Drosophila melanogaster: one gene and its partner. The gene in region 1 interacts genetically with each later gene. Each region holds a gene or a part of one and is shown on either strand. Other genes may lie near its edges. The genes, in order: Nak and Chc.

What was found.
Region 2: of Nak (region 1) and Chc, changing one enhances a phenotype caused by changing the other (phenotypic enhancement), as found in Drosophila melanogaster (one study listed by BioGRID).

Annotation. Positions count from the first base shown.
Region 1 is NT_033779.5:18,966,501-18,970,431, reverse strand, and holds the start of Nak (Numb-associated kinase), read left to right. Parts: upstream 1-1,687; 5' UTR 1,688-2,016; coding exon 2,017-2,179; intron 2,180-3,931. Other genes in the region: Tango6 (transport and golgi organization 6), read right to left, coding at 1-1,214, 1,273-1,333.
Region 2 is NC_004354.4:15,833,393-15,837,323, reverse strand, and holds the start of Chc (clathrin heavy chain), read left to right. Parts: upstream 1-1,833; 5' UTR 1,834-2,037; exon of another isoform or gene 2,038-2,096; intron 2,097-2,411; exon of another isoform or gene 2,412-2,503; intron 2,504-2,569; exon of another isoform or gene 2,570-2,692; intron 2,693-2,952; 5' UTR 2,953-3,159; coding exon 3,160-3,201; intron 3,202-3,624; coding exon 3,625-3,832; intron 3,833-3,931. UniProt on the Drosophila melanogaster protein: Clathrin is the major protein of the polyhedral coat of coated pits and vesicles.

The DNA of each region.
Region 1 (3,931 bases):
CTGGAGTATCGCAGGTAATTCGTTTTTCATTTCTCTGTTGTCCAGACAACGCAAAATAATGGCAGAAATCTGCGATGACGCCGGTAATTCCATTGGAAGGCCATCGTAGAGTTGGAGCAGCAAAGGAAGGTAGGGAACGAGTAGATTACTGGGTAAGCAAGCTACGGTTGAAGAACAAAAGAGATGCTGCCATAAGAGAATGCGATTGCACAGTTCCTGGTGATCCATTAAGATAAGGCCATTAATAATGTCTTCTGGGTTACAAAGCGTTTCCCAGTGTTTGAATAATATTTCTTTTATCAGCTTTTGATTTGTATCACTTAAATCGTAAAGTCTTCTGAGCGATAGGACACCGGCGCACATTTTGTCCGCATTCTGCAGATAGAACTTACAATATTCTAGCACCTGGAGAACCATCTTCTCTTGCGCTAACTGAGAAAATCCTTTTCTGGCCACAATACTAGCCACAATTTCCGCATTTCTGGAAGAATTCACATTGGGATTTTGATGCAGGGCCTCAACAAGACTAGCAAATCCTTGGGGTAAGTGAAGCTTTCCTAAGAGTTGACGGTGCAATAATTGGGCCAGAGTTGGGCAGAGAGTCGTAGCTTTAAAAAGCAAGATGTTGCGAAAGAAATCTGCTTTGGATTCATATTGCCAGAGGTAGGCTATAGCCTTATCCAGCAGTGGAGAGTCTTGCTGCACACGTAGACTCACAATGGCCGCCAGTAGATCCCTTTGCACCAGCTCCATCGAGTTGGCTATGTGGTATTGTCGAATATGCAGTAGATTAATAAAGAACTGAATGCTTAGAAGCATCAATGAAAAGTTAGCTTTGATTTTCCCCTGAGCCTCACAAAAGATGGGCGACTTGTAGAAATCCTCATGTAGCTGGCATCGAAGCGAGTAATATGATAATTCTTGGGAAGCCTGGATACACAATTTCAGGTGCGCTACCGAAATAAGATCCTCCTTGGCGTCGCTGTGGAAATTAATGTTCCTCATGATCGAATGTAGCACATGTTGCAATCTTATTATATAGCATATAGTACGATCCGAATCGGGATCAATACTAGATTCGTGATCGTCTGTTAACTGATATTCCAGGCACAGCTCATGCAATTGCTGACCAATCTCGAGTTTAGCATATTTTTCCAAAATTCGCAGGTTGATTTCCAAGGCTTCGGCAGTCCCTGAGTTATTCGCCGTATTTGCTGTCGAAATATTAGTATTAGGGATACTACAATTATTATATGATGTTAACCAATTTACCTAGAGCTTTACTAAACCTTAAACTCTCTAGAAGAGCAAAGTACTTGGCCGTATTTATCATTGTTATCCCAGCAAACTACAATTTTGCGAATTTAGCGACCATTTGCTAGAGATGCTTGTTTACAATTGCACCAGCACAATCGATAACATATTGATAAGGGAAACACGATGTTGGCAGCATAGCTAATTAAAACTGCGCGATAGTTTAATGCAACTGTAGCTATATGTTTTATTGAAAGTAGAACCATATTATCTTTTTAAATTGGATCAAATTACAAAAAATTGTTATCATAAAACCTATTTTGTAAACGGGGATTTCCTTGTTTTCAGAATTTCGAGATTGCAACCAACTTATCTATATATCGATAGGCGGCTGCACCAGCCGCGGGTTGCGCATCTGACTGCAGCAAAGCGCCCTGGTCACACTGGCCCAACAACTCGAGAGCAGCAGGAAAATCGAACAACTTTCTTTTTCCACTGCATTGTGTGTGTGCATGCAAAAACACAAAGTGCGCAGAATAGCTTTATTCAGCTAGCCGATACGACTCGAAAGTGGATTAATTGGCCAGCGGCACCGACGCCCCGCCCACCGTCAGCCGCCCTCGCAAAATTAAAAATTGCCAAAAACACCTACGCGCAGGCAATTAAGACCGTGTTAGCTAGTGTGCGTGTGTGCTCGCGAGTGTGTGTGTGTGTGTTGTGCTGCTGGGGCAGTAAACATTTTCTAGTGAAAATCGGGGGAAAATGAAGAAAATCCTGTCTAAGTTCGAGCGCAATGAGAACTCTCGACTGGAGAATCCGCCCAACAGCAGCAGCTCGTCGTCCTCGAACGAGAAGAACAGCTTCGTGGGCAAGGTCTTCACAGTGGGACGCGTCACGGTCACCGTGGAGGATGTCCTGGCAGAAGGTAGACGACTATATATACACTCTTATATATGTGCTCCCATTCCCCTACCTACAACACGTCGCCCGCGATTATGCTTATCACCTGCCTGATTTACAGGTGGGCAGTAGCCTGCCGTCCGCTTTTCGGTCTCGCCCCTCGTCACAGATTAGATAAACCCCTTCAGCGCGAGAACTCCCAAATGTGGGGCGTACTCAAAGCGCTAGAGAGCATAAAAATCAGCTGCGTATCCTCCATAATTGGGGACACCACTTGTCGCATTTCCGATTAAATCCAAATAAATTACTCCCAATAATTTCTGTATAAGATGTTAAACTCAAAACAGCTAAAATCTGACTTTGATATATTATCTTTTAATAAAACTGTAAAACATTTTAAATTATTTCATTAATTATGAATACTAAATACTGGTTTGTAACCTAAATTCCAACTAATTGAACTGCAATTTTGCCCTTGGCATAGAACTACATATTTATGTCCATAACTCGGCTCTCTAATGGCGTGCAGATATTTCGTCCAAATTTATGTCAGTCTTTAAAGAGTTTATTTTTGCCAAAACCAGAAATGCCAGCATTTCTATTGTGACAAATGGGTGTCCGCGTTAGAGAAACCCGACTGTACAAACACAGTTACGGTTCTGGTTGGTTTTTCCATGGAATACCCATTGAATTCCCGTAGCCACTACACATGGCCACAAATCAATTGAATCAATTATGTTAATTTAGCCAATGAAGCGGCAAGACCAACACTCATCAGCCGACTGTCTCCGACAGTCTTCCGTTTTTCACCTTTCGCCGAGCTAAATGGCAAAGTTCGCCCCTAAGGAAATCGCCTGTGCTGTGTCCTTGTCCTTGAAATGCGGAGTGCTCCACTCCACATCATCCTGCAGTGCAAGTGCCTCCTTGTTGGCCTGGCACCAGTACCCTCCGCCCAACATTTGATCATCTAACGATTGCTCACCCACCGCCTGGCCAGCCATTCGCCACCTTTCCTTTAGCCATTACGTAGTGTTTTTTACTTTTTATACTTTTGGCAAGCGGACTCGATTCGTAATTTTGTTTTGCGCTGCGCTGGCGCCGCTGGCAATTAGTCAGCTGTTGTCGGGCATACCCTGTAATTAAAAAGGCGGAGCGTTTGACGAACACGGTTATTTGGTTAAAGTTATTGAATTAGTATAACAAATTATAAACTAAATTATATATTATTTATTAATTCATTTAATCCAGTAACGTAACTATTGGTATTTCATTTAAGAAAGAGAAAAAATAAATAGAGTCTTTTGCAGATGCTCAATGAATAAAATGCGCGTATAGCCAAGTTTAAACTGCTCGATATGCTGGATACTTCCAAAGTAACACTGTGCTTAATCACCTTCAATATTTACCTGCTTTCTTTGATTCGATTTTTGAGCAGCCAACAACAATTACAAATGACTAAGCGACAAACGGTTAACGAATGAAGCTTTCCCGCCTTAACCCCTCAGCCCCCACCCTTAACCGCTTACTGCCCACCTTGCAGTTGACGCCCCTTCAGACGTATTTTCTACCCTCGTTTGCGTTTCGAATTGCCTTCTCGCGTTTTCTCGCATCGCTACAATTGTGCATTGTTATTGTTGCTTTTCATACTATTATTACTGGATGTTGTTGCTGTACTTTTTGCCAATGTTGATTTGTTGCTGTTGCAACCTTCAGCATTGATTAACATTTGACGCCATAATTTCACAAAGTCGAGCAAAAATGGTTACATTTGCTGGTC
Region 2 (3,931 bases), on another chromosome or scaffold:
ATCCTGTCGCCCTGCCATCGCCGGCACCACAAAGTTCGCGCCCATGTCGCGGCCGCTGTAATCCTTCGATTACATCGTTACCTCACGGCGATAATCTTGGCGGGGCTGTATTATGGCGTTAGAGTGGGCGTGGCAACATGGATCTCAACTTGGGACTCTCAACCTTCTAGCTTTTATAGTTCTCGACGTTCATACGGACAGACGGACATGACCAGATCGACTCGGCTATTTCTCCTGATCAAGAATATATATATATATATAGATTATATGGTCGGAAACGCTTCCTTCTGCCAGTTTCAACGAATCTTACCCTTACGAGTAACGGGTATAAAAAATTGGAACTTGCATTATTATTGGCTCCCACAGAGAAGGGTATATTATTTGAATGACAACAACGTTTCAATGTAAATATATATTAAAATAATCTAGGTAAACATGAAAACGAAGAAAAATAAAAACAGAATTTAGTGGTATCTTTATGTTATCAAAATGAATATGATTGACAAAGCTCAGAGTCCGCAGCATTCTGCCATTTATCCTGGGCTTCCTAGATCCCAAAACCGAGTCGTAAGAACGTCTGTATATACTGTAGAAGAAACTTATATTAATAAAAGAATTTCCCTGGGAAACGAGGAGTTTATCAGTTTACCTTATTCTGTTAGCGACGGATCCTCTCCCAATGGCCCTGGGTTGAGGAATCCTGGGCGGGTGGGACGCCTAGCAGGAATGCGGCAGACTGCGAACGGCCAAAGCATCGAGCACTGGTCAAATTCGGACAATCCAGCTGGGTTTTTTACCACTGCAATAATGAAAAACTTTCAGAAGTCCTCAAGGGATTGCTCATGGTAGAGAGTGACATCGCTTTTGCTTTTAATAAAAGAATTTCCAAATTTTTGTGCCTGCAGGACAAAAATGATTATGTGTACCTTTTCGACAACTTGCTGAGGTGCTGGACCCTTCGCCCGTTCGAAGACTACCGCAAATCTGCGAGCGGGACGCCCGCAATATTCGTCTAGCTCCTTGCCCCATCCTTTGTCATGCCCTTGATCAGTCAAGTCAAGACGGTATAGATTCTATCGCCAAAAGGTGCTTCAAAATCGGATACTGCTGCTTACCTCATAGATTAAGATTTTATTGTTGGGACTCGGTTTTCCAAATGATAAAAACAATAAAAAAAATGTTTGGAGCAAATCCTAAAGTTGTTGTTTCTGTAGCACATTGAGTGTAAATGTCAAAAATAGTATTGAAAAAGAACAAAGTTAAAATCATCGCCTACTTAAAAATAGTATTGCATAGGAACAATGTTAAAATTATCGCCTACTTATTATCCAGCACTTAAGCAAGATAATTAATGTATATATATTTTTAAAAATTAACGAAAGAGAATGCTTTAGTCCCGTTCTCCGACTATCAGATACCCGTTACGCAGATAGTGTGAGTGCAAACGTGAAATTTAATAATTTTTTCTGGGGTGTGTTCTGTTACTCTACGAGTAACGGGTATAATAACTTCACATTCCAAATTAAATTGCTATAAAAAATAGATTTCCAATTAGAGAATATATCCAATTGGATCACTCGATAACACCTGTTAACCTTACGTATGTATTATGATCTAAAAACTTGTTATCGGCAAAATATAAATGAAGCTGATAAAATAAAATAAATTTGTTGTTCCTTACAAAGTTATACTACATTTACCTAAATAATAATTACATTCGAATATTATGAATAAATACGTGTAACAGTAGGATCGTGCGATACAAATATCGATTCGAATGTTGAATGTGGTATCGATGTTTTTTCACTCCACGCAATTGCATATTTGCCGTATATATCGGCATTAATTGTATAACTTTCACACCTCTACCTTGTCTTGCAGTCAGTATTTAGTCAAACAAAAGAAAAATAAACTACATTTGTTAGAGCTTGATAAGAGCTCAGTTTGTCTTCAGTGTGTGTGCCCGTCATCTAGCAACAAACCGACGTGATTATTTCGAGTATGATAGTACTTAGCGTACATTTTTGTTAAATTGCAGTAAGCATACGGGCTCCAAATATCTTTCGATTCATTGGGAAAAAATGTAAAGTGCTAAAGTGCGTGTGTGTGTTCGCTTGCAAATGCAATATATACATACAAATTTTGTTTATTTGATGTAAAAGCATCCGATTAATTTACCGTTTATCTAATTATGTTCTTGTTTATGTGGCATATTGCGGCACTGCAAGTGTGCGCGCTCATCTGTGAGTGTGTGTGCGCGAGTGCTGCTGTGTGCGTGTGAATTGGGAATTACCGCTACTCAATTTGATGTATATACACCGAATTTCGTCAATTTCATGGCATTGTCCCATTGTTATCAGGCGCAAAACAGTGATATTTAAATGCGATTTTCGATTTTCATGCACACACAGGGGGAGGGAAAACAAGAGCAAAATTGCTGTACATGTATTAGTCAGTGACTAATTGTTCAAAGCGCAACTCAACATGGCTGACTTTTTCTGTGGTGAGCAGCGATTTTTGATGATAATGCTGCCTCTTTTCTTTTCAAATTCTCTCTCTTGATTCGCTCTCACTCTCTCTCTCTCTCCCTCGCTCACCTCAAATAAAATAAAGTGCTGGTAATTTTCCCGTCGTAACGGCAAGTGCAAAAACGCAAGAAAACGAATAAAAATACCGATACAAAGGATTAATCGTAGGAAATAATTTCGTCTATATATTTTCTTGCACAAAAGCGATTGGGGATACAATAAGAGACTCGGTGTTTTATTTTAAGGGCGTTTACATCCATATGTACATACATATAGGCCTTTATCTTTCATTTTTTCATCCGGTGACGCTGTCACTTTCTATCAACAATAAAATAACGCCCACAATTTGATTTTTCCTCATTCTTGCCGCATCAGTGCTGTCCATAACTACATGTTTTTCCAAAATCTTTTGTCTTTCGTGCAGCTAAACGTTCCAATGGAAACCGAATCTTAAACCAGAAACCGACTAAACTCGAACGCAATTAAACAACAATAAATCCTCGAAACAAATCAAATACAAACTGTTACCAAGTGTGCAATTCAAGAAAACATCGTATTGGCATTGTTTTCGCAAAGATACATTTACGTTGTAAAGGTCTGTCAATAACTAGACCTCACTGTAGTAGTAAAGATGACGCAACCACTGCCCATCCGCTTTCAGGAGCATTTACAGGTGAGTAATATTAAATATTTTGGATCTACCATCATTACATATCCACATACGTACAACCCACCAATATGCCACGATTACCTACGATTATATCCGATTCATAAGCTCCCCACTTTTCTTATGAAAATTTCACGGTTTCCAGCTCTAATTCAACGTGTAAACAGAAAATATGGGGGCTTAGGTCGAGTTTCTACTTTGCTATACCTTCTATTCAAGTCTGTATACAGTGTATTTTCTATAGAACTAGTTATAATACAAATTTACATCTAAACTTAAGCAAAGTATTGCGAATATTTAATAGTAAATGTGGGTCAATCCAGGCCAGTTCAATAATTAATAATGAATGATTATATTGTGTAATGAGTGCGTATGCTATGATTTTCGATTTATCAATTAACACACATTTTCAATCTCCACTACGGACAGCTCACAAATGTCGGGATCAACGCCAATTCATTTTCATTCAGCACGCTCACGATGGAATCGGATAAGTTTATTTGCGTGCGGGAGAAGGTGAATGATACCGCCCAAGTGGTCATCATTGACATGAACGATGCCACCAATCCCACGCGGCGTCCCATCTCAGCGGATTCGGCTATCATGAATCCAGCTAGCAAGGTCATTGCGCTCAAAGGTAACTGAAACCGATGGTCCAGTCGATCAGAATGTCCGAAGAGGATCAGATTTTAGCTTAAAGTAACGTAGGCTTAGTAAACAGGTCCGCTTGTTATTA